Linked DNA regions of Drosophila melanogaster. The protein of the gene in region 1 interacts with the protein of each later gene in a pairwise test. Each region holds a gene or a part of one and is shown on either strand. Other genes may lie near its edges.

What was found.
Region 2: the proteins of Tsp42Eb (region 1) and Hey interact in a two-hybrid assay, tested with the Drosophila melanogaster proteins (one large-scale study listed by BioGRID).
Region 3: the proteins of Tsp42Eb (region 1) and Ccp84Ad interact in a two-hybrid assay, tested with the Drosophila melanogaster proteins (one large-scale study listed by BioGRID).
Region 4: the proteins of Tsp42Eb (region 1) and CG10344 interact in a two-hybrid assay, tested with the Drosophila melanogaster proteins (one large-scale study listed by BioGRID).

The regions. Positions count from the first base shown.
Region 1 is NT_033778.4:6,996,974-7,000,405, forward strand, and holds Tsp42Eb (tetraspanin 42Eb), read left to right. Parts: upstream 1-1,874; 5' UTR 1,875-1,956; coding exon 1,957-2,208; intron 2,209-2,272; coding exon 2,273-2,437; intron 2,438-2,509; coding exon 2,510-2,761; 3' UTR 2,762-2,875; downstream 2,876-3,432.
Region 2 is NT_033778.4:7,994,924-8,000,181, reverse strand, and holds Hey (Hairy/E(spl)-related with YRPW motif), read left to right. Parts: upstream 1-1,903; 5' UTR 1,904-2,089; coding exon 2,090-2,349; intron 2,350-2,762; coding exon 2,763-2,977; intron 2,978-3,718; coding exon 3,719-4,521; 3' UTR 4,522-4,744; downstream 4,745-5,258. Other genes in the region: Dic3 (dicarboxylate carrier 3), read left to right, coding at 5,255-5,258. UniProt on the Drosophila melanogaster protein: Transcriptional repressor which acts as a downstream effector of Notch signaling.
Region 3 is NT_033777.3:6,690,932-6,694,061, forward strand, and holds Ccp84Ad (Ccp84Ad), read left to right. Parts: upstream 1-1,800; 5' UTR 1,801-1,866; coding exon 1,867-1,878; intron 1,879-1,939; coding exon 1,940-2,527; 3' UTR 2,528-2,596; downstream 2,597-3,130. Other genes in the region: Ccp84Ae, read right to left, coding at 28-642, 761-772.
Region 4 is NT_033778.4:22,425,233-22,428,834, reverse strand, and holds CG10344 (uncharacterized protein), read left to right. Parts: upstream 1-1,857; 5' UTR 1,858-1,921; coding exon 1,922-2,153; intron 2,154-2,208; coding exon 2,209-2,813; 3' UTR 2,814-2,853; coding exon of another isoform or gene 2,854-3,033; 3' UTR 3,034-3,091; downstream 3,092-3,602. Other genes in the region: ppk12 (pickpocket 12), read right to left, coding at 1-237, 290-378, 432-547, 599-880, 945-1,145, 1,205-1,356; CG46442 (uncharacterized protein), read right to left, coding at 2,854-3,033, 3,092-3,259; rad50, read right to left, coding at 3,378-3,602.

The DNA.
Region 1 (3,432 bases):
TGGTGATCTACATGTGGGTGCAGAAGGACAAGTACCTGGAGATCATGGGCGACGTGGTCGAGAAGGCCTGGAACCATCGCACCAGTCGTTCCGACTACATGGACGCGATTCAGATCAGCGTAAGTATTTAGGGACTTCCAAGGACATGTGACCCGCCTTCAACTGACTTTCTGCCGCTCCCGCAGATGAAATGCTGCGGACGCAGTGGCTACACCGACTACGCCTACCAGGGCAAGTTCCCTCCCTCCTGCTGCAGCGACACCAACAACTGCCGCTGGGAGACCGTCTACCGGCGGGGATGCAAGGTCACCTTCGTTGAGTTCTGGGACAGGAACAGCGACATCATCAAGTATGCCGGTCTGGTCATCGCCGCCATCGAAGTAAGTTATTGTCCAGAGTAACGCAATCGAACGAAATCGATCATCGAATCTAGGTGCTTCCCCATGTGAATTTCGAAAATATGATGGATGGGTTCATGTTACCTACCTTCCATTGTGATTTCTTGGGGATAACCAAAAAGTACTAAGTAATGTAAATCATAATTCGTAGCAATGCAGTTTAGTTTGTTATTTTACCATAAGCGTTATGAGATTTACACCTACATGTATATTCTTCCAATATACCATACTCTGTTTGCTTTCAGTTTGTGGGATTCGTTTTCGCCTGTTGCTTGGCGAACAGCATTCGGAACTATAGACGCCGTGCGGAATATTAATCGACAAAGGACTAAGGCCTTGCACTAATTTTAATTGAAACCGAAAGTACGAATTATGTTGCCCAATTTTACGAATATTTACCTGATACAGATGGCCATTCAAATTTGCATAATCTCAAGCGTAAGCAGCAAATGCAGCAAATCCAATGACGAATGCGTAACGATCACTTTTGTAAGATCGTTTGTTCAAAGTTACACTGAATGTGCTAATATGTTTAACTGTACAAAATAACTTATACTCCTGGAGATTGCAATAAACGGAGAAATTTATTTACAATTTACGAAAAGAGTTCAGTCTTTGTCTTAATGGGAAAGCTTACATTGTTTGCAATTCGACTTAATCCCTAAAGCACCTATTTTTCTAAATTGCCACGGGAGGATTTCGGCCATTCGCGATAACGTTTTAATCTGCAAAGTAATAAGTATAAATAGAGTTGGCCGAAACCAACAAGTACACTTTGATTACAGATCATTATCAATCATTGGCTCTATTGACATATTTCCGTAGAACTAACCTATCAGAAGACTATATTTAGTTAGTTAGCTTTTTAGGGCTCAGACGAAATCTTATCTCCATTGAGCTATTTTATCTATGAAGGGCACATAGCCGTTTTGTGAATGTCAATGGGAAATTATTCCGCCGTGGAAACCCCAATAGTTGCCAAAATCTTGTTGAAGTTAGGCTGGGAGTGCACTCGCTAAAAGGTTTATTGCTCGATTGATAGTACATAAATCTAGGCGATAAGATCGGGGACTCACGGGGAAACGGACTCCAAGCAACGTAATATGTGAGTCAGCGTGCACCGCGTACTCTTGACTGGTGATAAGGCAAGGTGTGGAGGGTGTGAATGATTCATCTTATGAACGATCTAACGCCCCCAAGATGGAATCGCACGAGGGCTAGATAAAATTCCGCCACCAGCAGTTTGCACCTACCATTCGTTGAATGAATCATTGCGCCAAGGATGTAATTTCCCAGGTTCGGACCACCACAATGATCTGGTATCTCGTGGGTGCAAAGCGATTCACCAAGTACAAGTACATGGGCATCGGAGCTTCCAGCACAAGTACATACGGAATTTTATGGCCGAGATAAGAGCGCAGCCGATAAGATGAGGACTCCGAGTAAGCTTTAATAGCCGCGTTCTGTCCGAGGGCCCATTCAGTTAGACGAACATCGTCACATCGAACGAACGGATTATCCAGCTAGCCAACGAGAAACCCGAACAGAACCCAGCACCATGAACTGTCTATCCGCGATGTTCAAGTACCTGCTGTACTTGCTCAACCTGGTGTTCGTGGCCGGTGGCATCCTGCTCATTGTGGTGGGCTCCATCATGCTCTCCACGATGGGCAACTTTACGGCCTTCGACGGAGGCGTTAACACCCAGACCATCCCGATCTGCATTATCGTCATCGGAAGTGTCACCTTCGTAGTGGCCTTCTTCGGATGCTGCGGCACCATTCGCGAGAACGCCTGCTGCACCACCATCGTAAGCACTCGGAAATCACCCACTGACCGAAATTGGATTCTAAATGACTTGGCATTCCTTTCAGTACGCCATCTGCATGCTGATTCTGTTCGGCCTGCAACTGGCCCTCTCCATCTGGATCTTCGCGGCCAACGACAAGTTCCTGTCCAGCATGGGCAAGGCAGTGGACAAGGCGTGGGATGAGAACAATGCCGCCCAGGGATACCCCATGGATGCCCTCCAGTTGGCCGTAAGTTTATCGAAATTCACCATCAGATGTCATTAGTTTTTTCCGGATATTTACGTATCTATTCCATTGCAGTTCTCTTGCTGTGGCAACACGGGATACCAACAGTATGAAACCGTGCCCAGCTCCTGCTGCGGCTACAAGGATCGCACCAAGGTGTGCGAAGCGGAGATCTACAGCCAGCGACCTGGCTGCCGGCAGGAGTTCGTCGATTTCTGGGCCTCCAATACGGACCTGATTCGATGGAGCAGTCTGATCATCGCCCTCTTCGAGCTGGGCATCTTCATCATGTCGTGCTGCCTGGCCAGCGCGATGAGGAAGCGCTAGAGCCGAAGTCAGATACAATCCTTAGACGTAGCCCAGTTCATAGCATAAATCCAACACACGAATTCCTCACTCACTCACTCACCGTAAATAAACCAGAATAGGTTAAGCCCAATGAAATATTATTGCTTATTCGCTGTCTACCTCTGGCTGCCGTCTATCTAATCAAGACAGGTTGATGTTTTTCCAAAAAGTATGTCCTTATCGGCCTGTTAGCCGAGTGCCGCGTTTCCGAGATCGAATGCCCTCAGTAGTGGTGAATCACCTCCATATGGCAATGGCTATCGATCTCCGCCCGCCGCCCAGTGCCCATTATCTATTTTTCGTTTCGGCCATGATTATGATAACAGGCACTTGCGTATCTTTCCTCCGATAGCGCCCGTGTCTGTTGGCCAATTTAAAAACAGTAGCCCATCTGGAGGAGCAGTCCAATCGAACGACAGTAAACGACGCGAGTGCGCGATAAAATCAGAGACACCGACAACTCCTTTGGATAAAACAATAGTGTTTATTTAATTCTACTAAATACAGGAGCAAACTATATACTTTCAAAATGGGTTGTCTATCGGGAATAGTCAACTTTATTTTATATATTGTCAATATCGTGTTTTTGGTAAGTGCTTGTCGGTTGAGTATCTAAGTAAAAGGAATTAATAATGTAATGAGACGTGTAA
Region 2 (5,258 bases), 1.0 Mb from region 1:
TTAATCGAGAAAATGGGAGAAATGCTACACTAAATCATTTTGTGGGGGAGAATAACTAATGATATTTCCAGTTATATGCGAAATTGCAACATATAATAGTAAAGGGATATAAAAGTATATACAATAGTATAGGGATTCATATAGCAATATTGGGATTCTTTAGGGTGACAGGACAAAGGAGTTGAAATGAACATTTTAACATAGATATCTACAGAAGAATTATTTTTGCATAACGATAATTCAAGTATAGTTTTTATTAGGGAAAGTTATGTCAAACCACAACGTACATATATATGTAAATATATCAGCTCCACCGTATACTGTTTTTCATTCGCATTTTAATTGTTTTTAATCTACTGCTAGCTTTAAACACACATTCCGTGCGGCTGATATAAGAAATAATGGGAAATTTTGGATGAAATAGTTTATCATAATAAAATTTATAGGTAATATTGACATTGATCAGCTTGTTATATTGAATTTATGAACACAATACTGTCAAAATATATTACATTAAAGTTAATGGGGAAACATTAACCAAAACAGACAGAACGTTAATTTCGATGTTAACTATCTCAGCTTGTAAAATCATTAGAAAAACTGACAAATTTTGGTGGAATAGCGATCAAAGCTGTCAAAAAAAATAGTGAAATCAAAAATATCAAAACATTTTTCAAAAGTTTTAGATTGACAGCTTGTGGCCATTAGACTGGGAGTGGCCAAAATATTTTTAAAAAATATGACAATTTTGCAAAAGTATGGACGTGGCAGTTTTAGCCGGTTTGTGTCCTTAAGAGTAGGCGTTGCAATCTTCTGTAACAATCTAGCTCTTAATCCTAGTAACTAGTTTTACATTCATGCTTTTATAGTTCCCGAGAGCTCAGCGTTCATACAATTACAAGGAACAATTAAGGAAGTTATAAGATTAGCCAATTCAGCAAAAAATTTAGAATGGATTAAATCATGTGAATATTCGAAATGCAGTGACAAAGCGCATCTAAGAGTTTATAATGGCAAATCAAAAAGATAAAGAAAAAGATAAAGCTCACGTCTGCTTTTTCGTAAAATTGTACAACATATTTACGTTTTACCGTCGCCATCCAAGTTCCTTATATCCCTTTGTGATGAAACGCTGCTTTCGATAACATTAAAGTGAATTATTTCCGCATTAGCATATTTCTAGGTAAACAAGTCGATTTTACCTCGGGCAATTTCTAGGTCAACTTCGGTCACCTGCTGCCGCAGTCGTTGTTATCTCGTCTCCTGCTCCTGCTTCTGCACCTGTGGATGTTCCCGTTCCCATTCCGGACCCGGGATGCCGCAACCTTGAGCCGGCACTGACCTAGAACTGTGTGGGCCACCCACCAGCACGCGTCCCACTGCACAGATAGAGGTCAACGGCGGCTGTTGCACTTGTTGGGGCTTTACCCGGCGCCACGCGATGCCACACGACCGGCGCGTGCTCCAGTTTGAGTTCCATGGACGGGTGCAGCCGCTCCAGCGGCAAACAAGTGGACGGCGGACGCCGCCAGTTTGTCGCCCACGGCGCCGATTAAAGGCCGTGCTGCAGATGCTTTAGATGCTTTAGATGCTTTAGAGGCTGCTGAAAGGCTATATCAGATGGTCGGGCGATACAATCGGATGAATCGATGACAGAGGCTTGCTCATTTGCCGGCGCTGGTCGCTCCTTGTCGCACACTCTCACTTGCTCACTTGGCGGCGATCGCCGCGCGGCGAATATGTTTGCTTCCCGTTTCCTACCCCAATCTCGGCAAGCACGCGCTGCGCGTTGCCAGGGGGTGGTTGCTGCTGCATCTTATTGGACGGCTGCCGCAGGCGGTAAAAAGGGGTTGAGCGGCGGCAGCGGAGGGCAGGTCGTCCGCTCGACGTGTGCTACAGAATCAGTCGAACGCCGTTCGCGCACACGATAAGTCACGTGCTCAAACTAGCTCCGCCAGCCCGGTCTAGCCGCCAACTGCATCTGCCTCTGCAACTAGCAGCACGCAAAGCTACAGCTCAGCAACAGCAACATCAACACAGTAGTGTCAAGTGCGCAGGAGCAGCGAGTAAACACTGGTCACCACACACAATGGATCACAACATGCACGTCAATGCGCCATCGCTGCATCACTGGGGCTACGCCGCCGGACCCGGCGTGGTCATGCCCGGCGCCACCGCCACCACACCCCAGAGCCACTGGGTGCCGCCGCCGCAGAGCCACCACAGCGCCCACAGCAACCACAGCCACGGGCATAGCCAGGGCCATAGCCACGGCATCGGCAGCCTGAAGCGGACGCTTTCCGAGAGCGACTGCGACGATCTCTACTCCGAGGAGTCCTCCAAGGAACAGTGCGTACTCGTGACTTCTTATCAAAATTTGTTTTTCAATTTAGTGCACAAAAAGCTATTCGCAGTTCCCAAGTTAGGAGTTGTCTTGTAAAATGAAACCTTTGAAAATACCATGCGATGTGCAAACGTTTTATGTTGCTAAAAAAAATAGTGCGTCATGATATTTACTTAGTGAATCGAAGTCATGGATAACTCCACTTAACGCAAAGTTGCTGATAAACCATCAAAATATAAATCACTAAACTATAGGGTTTTAAGAAAAGATAGATTTTAAAATGTTCTGTAACTTAGAGGTTTTTTTAGTAACACCATAGAGTGTTTTTCAGTCTATGAAAGATTAAGATATTAAGATTAAGAATCTATCATTAACTTCAATCCATAGCTAATAGAAACCCTTTCCTCTGTTCCATTAGAATCTCGCCCAGTGAGCCGGGCAGCTGCCAACTGATGAGCCGCAAGAAGCGACGCGGAGTGATCGAGAAGAAGCGGCGGGATCGGATCAACTCCTCGCTCACCGAACTCAAGCGCCTGGTGCCCTCCGCCTACGAGAAGCAGGGATCCGCCAAGCTGGAGAAGGCCGAAATCCTTCAGCTGACCGTGGAGCATCTCAAGAGTCTGCAGTCTAAAAGTAAGTTTACCAAGCCCACTTGAGCTAGCTTAAAGAGGTTTTAAAAAGCAAATAGGCTAGCTGCACCACAGACCTCCTCACTGAAGTTAAACGCTTCTATGGGTCATTAATCACAATAGGAGCAAATAGAGGGTTAACTTGGGCAGCCAACTAAGTTGGTTAACTAAAAGAAGTAAAGTGTAAAGAAAGTAATTTCTTATTTCGACAGTTAATATTACATTAGGGCCCATTTAGCGCACTAATTAATCAAGGCATATCTGACATACATATGAACTTCAATACATTATAAAAAATTGGAATGGGAAAAACTGCAAGCAGAATCCCTAAACGCAAGCCGCTGTGGGAAACAATTGAGTAACGATATTAAATACAATATGCGGCAAATTATCACAAATCTGGGTAAACAATCCTGACCTGTTGTCCCGAACAGGGTCGAATTGTGGGAAAATTATGATTGCCGTAGGCAAAGCAGGACCACCACCACCAGCGCCAGCCTAGCGCTCAAGTGAATCTCGAATCTCGGGGCTTCCCACGCTCAGTAGCGGCACCACCACGATGGCAACCTTGTAGCCAGGCGCGGGCTTTCACCCCCCGATAGCCACCTCACAACAAGCCATCCCGCCGAAGGACATGGGGGTTGTTCTTTATGCTCGTCGCGTGGGAACAGCTATTTTAATTGTTTGCCTGAACTGGGATTAGACAGCTTATTGACTTTCTCCACCTCCTCGTATCTTGTTGCAGCTCTCGACTCGCTTAGCTATGATCCGCAGCGAGTGGCCATGGACTACCATATCATTGGGTTCCGCGAGTGCGCCGCAGAGGTGGCCCGCTATTTGGTCACCATCGAGGGCATGGACATTCAGGATCCTCTGCGCCTGCGCCTTATGTCCCACCTCCAGTACTTTGTGCAGCAGCGCGAACTGTCGGCCAAGAGCTGCGCCAGTCCGGGTGGCTGGTCTCCGGCTGCTCCCAGCTCCTCCGGCTATCAGCCAAACTGTGCGGCTGCTCCCTACCAGAGCTATGCGGCGCCAGCCAACCCGGGTGCCTATGTGTCCAGCTACCCCACACTAAGTGCCTCGCCCTCTCAGCAGGCTCAGCAACTGGGAGGACGCACCAGTGTCTCGCGGACAAGTGGAAGTGCCGTAACTGAATCGCTGCCCAGCCATGATCTCCACTCTGACAGCAGCAGCCAACAGCAGCAGCAACAGCAGCAGCAACAGCAGCAGCAGCAGCAACACCAACAGCAGCAGCATCAGCAGCAACAGCAACGGACGCAGACAACACCTCAGCCGACGCAGCAGCAACACTATACCCACGACCACAGCGCAGTGCATTCCGAGCAGCAGGTTCCCACCTACATAGAGCTGACCAACAGCAATCGTCCAGCGGCCATAGGTTCCGATAGCCTTAGCTATAGTGCTGCTCCTCAGTATCCGGTCAGCGGACTGCCAGGCCAGGACTACAACAACTCCAGTGTGCTGCAGTACGCCACTCCCAACGGAGCAAAGCCCTATCGTCCTTGGGGCGCCGAGATGGCCTATTGATTGTGGGCATAAGCCTCAGAAGGGATATTTCAACCTCTAGTCAGAGCAGACCAAGTGTGATAGTCTTAAGTTTCGCATCCTACACAGAGAGAAAAAAATGGAGAAACAACGCAGTGAGATTAGCTAGTCCCGTAAGCCTTTAAGCTTAAGTTATACCCTATGATAACTATAACTTTGAACACTTTGTGAATCTATTGTAAATAAACGCATGAGTGTATAAGTGAATATGTTGAAACTCGCTTGATAATTGATATTCGGATCAGGAAAGCCTTTCTAGTTGTTATATTTCGTGAAATCTCGACGTTCATACAGACGGACAGACGGACATGGCCAGATTGAATCAGGTATTGATTCCGATCAAAAATATATATATAATATATAATATATAAGAATATATATAATCCACGAGTAACGGGTATAATTATTAAAAACAATCAAAAAAGTTTAAACAAGTAGTGACGATCCACATTCAAAAATTTGAGGTATATCAATGACGCATACTTTGATTAGTGCTATTATTGGATTATCAGAGAAAATATTAATTTTAACGAACATTCTTGAGGTGCGCTTTGTCACTGCGAGGACTACCAGTTCGCCGTCATAGCGGCTGAATTATCCTTAGCTAAATGGGAACAATTCGTTGCAGCGAAAAATTTACCGAATTCTTTTTAGTTTTACACGTCAGATAGCTTAGGGTTTCTAAAAAAAAATTCCAAGAAATTAAGTTCGGTCTATGG
Region 3 (3,130 bases), on another chromosome or scaffold:
TCAAAATAACAGCGGTCGCATGGGTGTTTACAATTGGGCGACGGTGTACGCAGGGGCGGTGTACCGCAGAGGCGTGGCATAGGCAGCGGTACGCAGAACGGGAGCGGGAGCAGCCACCGCCAGAGGGGCGGAGCGGACGAACGGAGCGGCAACTGCTAGGGGAGCGGACTTGATCAGAGGAGCAGCGACGGCCACTGGAGCGGAGCGCACAATGGGAGCTGGTGCGGCCAAGGCGACAGGGGCGATGGGGGCGACTGGAGCGGCCTTGACCAATGGGGCAGCAACCTTCAGCAACGGCTCGGCGGCCACAACAGCGGCAAGGGGTTCACGGCGGACGACGGCGTTGAATCCGTTAATGGAATCGGCGGTATAGGTCACGGTGCGCTTAAAGCCATCGGCGTCGATCAGGGAGTACTCGCCGCGGACCACGTCACCATCGCGCTCCTCCACATGCCCCTTGTTGTCGCCGGAAAGCGTGTCCTGCACGTCGTAGCTGTAGGTGTACTGAGGATGCGGATCAACCTCCTCCAACTCAACGGTCTTGGCCAAAACTGGCACCGGAGCAGAAGCCACTGCCACTGGAGCAGCAGTTCTAAGGACGGCGCCATGGGCCACGGCGAACAGAGCCAAAGCGATAACAATCTGCGGAATAAATTACACTCTTTTTAGGATTTTTTTTTCCAAGATAAAAAGGCGAAGGCAGTCTGGTAATCCACTAGTAGTCCCCCGGAACGTTTATCCTCCAATTGGTAGCACAAACCTTTGCTGCCATTGTAGTTGGATGAATTTGATTAACTGCTGTCTTGAGCCGAAGCCAAACACTGAATGTCTGACCCATTGTGGGCCGTTTATTTTATACGCTACTTGGTGACATTGATGACACCTAATTGGAATTCATTTTTGGCGCATCACCTCGAGCGGCGCCGGTGGCATGTAAAAATTGTCACGCACCTTCTTCAGTTCTGCCAATTTCGATCGGTCGAAATAACCAGCTGCACTTAATTGATTACGCCAAGCCAATTTTAATTACTATTTTCCTTAAACTTGGAGTCTTCTTATTCAATTTTGTTGTTTTTCTTTTGGAAAGTACAACAAAGTAAGTGTGTATAATTGAACCCATTTTTTATAAAAAGGGAATAAAAGTTCTGATCTTATTTGTTTAAATATTTGCTAGTCAAATTATTAAATACGTTTTGAGTTTGTATCCATAGGTTTGTCTTGGTGAGGTATAATGAATATTTTATGTTGGGATCATAATTTGATTATTATGTATTTAAAACACATTTCCTACAAAGTTGTATAATTTTATTAACCTACATAAAATATTACAAATATGTTACAAAAAAAAGTTTTAAGCATGTTAAAAAGCTGTTCGCCTGTGAACTATCTTCAAATTTTGGAAACCAAAGGTGGGTGATAAAAAATAATAATTTTAATTTAATAAAGCTACGATAATTTAGATGTTTTGAGTTAATATCTTTTTAAGCGACCTTTTTGCCACAATATTAACTGTCTTGTAAGCTAACTGGATTTAGTAAGCAGTGATGTCACAGCGCACGCTCTCCGTTTCTCTCGGATAAATTGAAGTTATTTGATGACAAAACACAGAGATACAAAGATTGAGCACGCCTTCAAGCTTCACTTTTCCCTCTCCACACACGTTTAGCATAAATGAATTGCACTAATTACGCCAAGAGCGTGGCCCGCCGGCAAAAGCGAGTTCGGCCATTCAATGGTAGCAGCAGCTGAAGAAATAGCTCCATCTCGGTATATAAGCCAAGTGTTGGCCCAGTAGCCCTCACAGTTCATTTTGCCTTCCAACAACCAACAGCAGCAGCAGCAGCAGCCAAATCAATCCAAATCAAAATGGCATTCAAGGTTCGCCCCGAGGACTTAGCCCCGCCAAAGACCCACATCCTAACTGCTTTCCCTCTTTCAGTTCATCGCCCTCTTCGCCCTGATCGCCGCCGCCAGCGCCGGTGTTCTGCCCGTCCAGCAGGTGTACCACGCCGCCCCCGCCGTGGCCACCTACGCCCAAGCACCTGTCGCCGTTGCTCACGCCCAGCCGGTTCTTGCCAAGGCCGCCGAGGAGTACGATCCCCATCCCCAGTACAAGTACGCCTACGATGTTCAGGACTCCCTCTCCGGAGACTCCAAGAGCCAGGTGGAGGAGCGCGATGGCGACGTGGTCCGCGGAGAGTACTCCCTGATCGACGCCGATGGCTACAAGAGAACCGTCCAGTACACCGCCGATCCCATCAACGGATTCAACGCCGTTGTCAACCGTGAGCCCCTGGTCAAGGCCGTCGCCGTTGCCCCCGTTGTGAAGACCGTCGCCGCTCCCGTTGCCCACTACGCCGCCCCTGCTGTCGCCCATTACGCTGCTCCCGCTGTGGTCAAGACCGTGGCTCCGGTTGCCCACTACGCTGCTCCCGCCGTGGTCAAGACCGTGGCTCCAGTTGCCCACTACGCCGCTCCTGCTACCTACACCTCCTACGCCGCCCCCGCTGTTGCCTACCACCACTAAGAACTGTCATTTTACGTTTCTCAACCCATTACTGTTATAGTTTTACAATTGCCTCCTACAAATACACACAAATATTAAAAAAAATTTTTTTTTTTATTTTCATCTATTGATCATCTATTTTCATCAACGGCAGCTGAAACAATTTCGGATTTGTTTTATCCGGATAAAATTGAGTCAAGGAGATAGCGTCTTCATTAATGACATTCTAATGTGTTTCAATTAGATGTGTTAGCCATATTTAATACCTATAAAAAATACTGCAAAATCTTTACAAAAATAAAAAAAAAATCTCAAATATTTTGTTTAAATAATATGTGCAATTTTAAAACCATCAGCTTATATTTTTGATTGCATTAGATATTTTTATATTGATAGGGTATTGATGAAGTTATGATTAAAACTAACAGAGTCAACATAAAAAAGTTAATTCTTGAGAGTTATAGATATAACAATATTATTTTAAATATTTTTTTAAAAATGTATGATATGTTTATACCCTGCGCGTCTATCTAATCAAACTAAGCTTAATAAAATATGCAGTTGATAATAGACTATCAGATACGCTTTAGATATCATCAGCAAGTTTTATAAGTTCGATATCTC
Region 4 (3,602 bases), about 15 Mb from region 1:
GTAGAGGAATGCGGCCAGGCACTCGTTCTCGCAGTTGAGTCGCGTATAGATACGATAAAAGATCAGCTCCTTCTCGTTCTTGAACAGGCACTGCCGGCCATCGCGGGATATAGATCGAATGGCCGGAACCGCCTCGGCACGAACCATCTCAATTCGATAGTTGGTTTCGTAGCCAATGGCTGAGATGAGGCCCGCCTCCTTCACCTTGGGAACTTCGATGGGATTGTGAAAGTAAACCTGGAAATGGCGGGTATGATGGGTAAAGGCAGTATGTATATTAAAGGCTTACTTTAAAACCAGGTCCATTGGTCGAAGAGCAATAGTATTCGCCCATCTCAGCATCAAGTACGGCAGTAAATCCCAAGGTGATACCAGTGCCTATAGTACATATTTGAAATACTCTATTCATTAACGATTCTCTGATATTTTACCACTAGCGGTGGCTGGATAGAACTTGGGGGGCAATTGTTCCGGATATCCTGACTCCGGATCCCACATAACACTTTCAAACCCATCAGAGTTCGTCAAGTTCCGGTTGTTATTTGCACTGTCAAAACAATAAATCAATTATTTTAATTTAATGAACCCATCTAGTTACAATGGCTTGTAGAGATATTCCGGTGGTTGAAAATTGAAGACGCAACACAGGCCCTCATCCGTCAGGATCTGCTGAAACAGTTGCGAACAGTTTCGCTCCACGGCACTGAATCTACAAAAAAGCAACATTCTCTCGCAGGACTGCGAGTGATTTGAAACAAATTCGGATATCTTCAGGTTGTTCGTGACAAAATTCGAAGCGGAGAACTCCTCATCAGCCTCACTGGATTCCCAGCTATCCGATTCACATAATAGCTTCAGAAGGGCACTTTCATTGGAGCCCCTGGAACATAATTTAATTTCAAAATGATGGATGGACGATTGCCTTAGAGGAAAACCGAACTTACTCTCTGTAATTGGCTACCAGACTCCTCTGCACCTGGTTCATATTGCATATGGTTATTGCCGGAAAAGGAACCTTCAAAATGGAGGTGGCCTGTGGGCTGATGCCGATTATAACCGGCGTGCTATCCCACTTCACATAGATGTTCGATATGAGGTGCACCGTGATGATGAGGGCGGTGACAAAGGAGCCAAGGAAAAACGATCTAAAAAGGGTTTTGCAAATGTAGCTCAAAATCCGCACTTGGATGTGCTCCTTTCCCACCTCTCCCAGCTACTCAGGCCGGAATCGCCCACAAACTTGAGTCCATGCAGACTAGTCTGGTTGAGGAACTGCCGCAGACTCCTGACGAAGCTCTTCAGCAGAAATAACGAGGATCCCTGCCTTTCCGTTCCGGCTGACGGCGACGGTTCCATAGCGAACTGTTTACTTAATGACCCTTGACACCTGCATAAATACTTGATATCGCAAGCAATCAGGTGTCGGCACACTTATTAAAGAGGCATGTAATTAAGGTTTTACCCCGATTACGGCGGCATTCGAAGGAGTGAATCCTTTCAAGTTAATTAAATTCTCAATGCTGGCTTGCCGTTGGCGTTTAAATGTATATGTATGTATTCATGGCACACGCCATCAAGCATACGACGTGTGGCCCGTCTTGATAACATGTATAAGTGCATGGCCGCAGTTTTACACCACCCCGCGCTTGATATCAAACTTTAATTCGGTTAGCTTTGGAGTTTATCAAATTATATTGAACTCGGGTTCAATGAATCACATTCAATCATACTGAACGCAAACTTTTCGCCGCAAAAACATAGAAAGCGAGCTTTTTACCGGCGACCCATTAGCTTTGGCCTCGAAAGCTTGATAAAATAAAGCTCAACCGCACGTGATGTTACAGCAACCGGTTATCAAGTTAGTTCTCTTTCTGACATATCGGAGATCGGTGCCTATTTATTTACCTTAGTAGCACAGATCATGAGAATCCGGAGCAACCCAATGCCCAGCCGGATGGTGGACATCTTGTGCTTCCTCATCATTGCGGTCTTTCTCCCGGTGGTGTTTATGTTCGAGATTGTGGTGGTGCTGCCTGCCTTCCATGAACCGGGTGGCTTCTTCCACACCTTCACCTTTCTTATGGCCATGTTCCTGGTGTTTAACATCAAGGGAAACATGATTGCCTGCATGATGATTGACACAAGTGTAAATGGTAAGTCGCAGCAGGTCTTATAATAAATCCGATAAAATGCATATCCCATTTCCAGTGAAAAAGGTGGAACCACCATCGGATCAGTTGAATTGGCGTGAGTGCGGCGAGTGCCAGAAGCTAGCACCACCCAGATCTTGGCATTGCAAGGCCTGCAAAGTGTGCATTCTGAAGCGGGATCACCACTGTATCTACACCGGCTGCTGCATTGGACTCAGAAACCATCGCTTCTTCATGGGCTTTATATTCTATCTCTTCGTGGGATCAGTTTACGCACTGGTGTACAACTCCATATACATGTGGGTCATCCACGGCCACATCTACAGCAACTGGGTGACGGTGTTAAAACTCGCCTGCCCCATGTTACACCTGGTAACGGGCAGTTTTTGGACCAACATGTACCTGGTCTTCTACAGCTTAAATATTTTAGCTCTGGCTTATGGAGTCCTCCTCCTGGCCTACCATGTGCCCATTGTTTTAAGGGGCGGTGTTTCCGCCGATCGCACTAAGGAGAGCAAAGAAAAGTACGACAGAGGAGTGTATCAAAATCTAAGGAGCGTTTTTGGAAACCGCATGCATTTAGCGTGGCTGTCCCCACTGATTCGCAGCGATCTGCCGGAAGACGGATACCACTGGAATGTCCCTACGAACAAACAAGACTAAGACTGATTAGGATCTAGGATAAATATCTGCTGTGCAGTTCCTACCTGGGGATCCCGTAAATGACTACTGTGACTTTGGCAACCTCTGGCTGGTTAAATGTTAGTCTTAAGATAGTGAAGTTGTAACCAATACCGCCGGACAGAACGGACGCCTGGCCTTTCCATTCCATTTCACTTTCATCGATGACCAATATCATGTTTATATGAAAGCACATGCTACCCTGTACAAAAATACCTAAGAGATCTTCCACTTTATTTAAAGTAATATATTTAAAATACCTTTTGTGTGTACTTCACGTCTACGAAATCCACAAATTCAGTGGTGAATATTTCAGTCTCATATATGGGAACAGCTAGAAAGTGCAGCATGCCAAATTGTACGGAGTGGCATGCAACTTCTGCATAAGCAAGTATTGCCAGCAGCAACAGACCACACGTATTGGCCATTTCTAAAAACTAAACCCATCATTCTTTGTTACCACACCTGCGCGGCCAATTGTCCCCGTCTATAACTGATTTGATGACTAGACAAGCAAACATAGATTGATAACAAAAATAATATTTTTTATTGATCTATCAAAGCTTTCTTTGATGGACCCGCCTCCACTCTCCGTATAACCGACTTGCACTCCTCGTTGCGGAAGACCCGATGGTAGGAGGTTATCTTGCCCAGAGACGAAACGAAATTCTCGTCGTGAGTGATGATGATGAGCATAAAGTTGGACTGGCTTTGGCGCTCCTCCACGATGCAATTCAGGGCTTCACATAGCGAGTTTATATTGGCGCGATC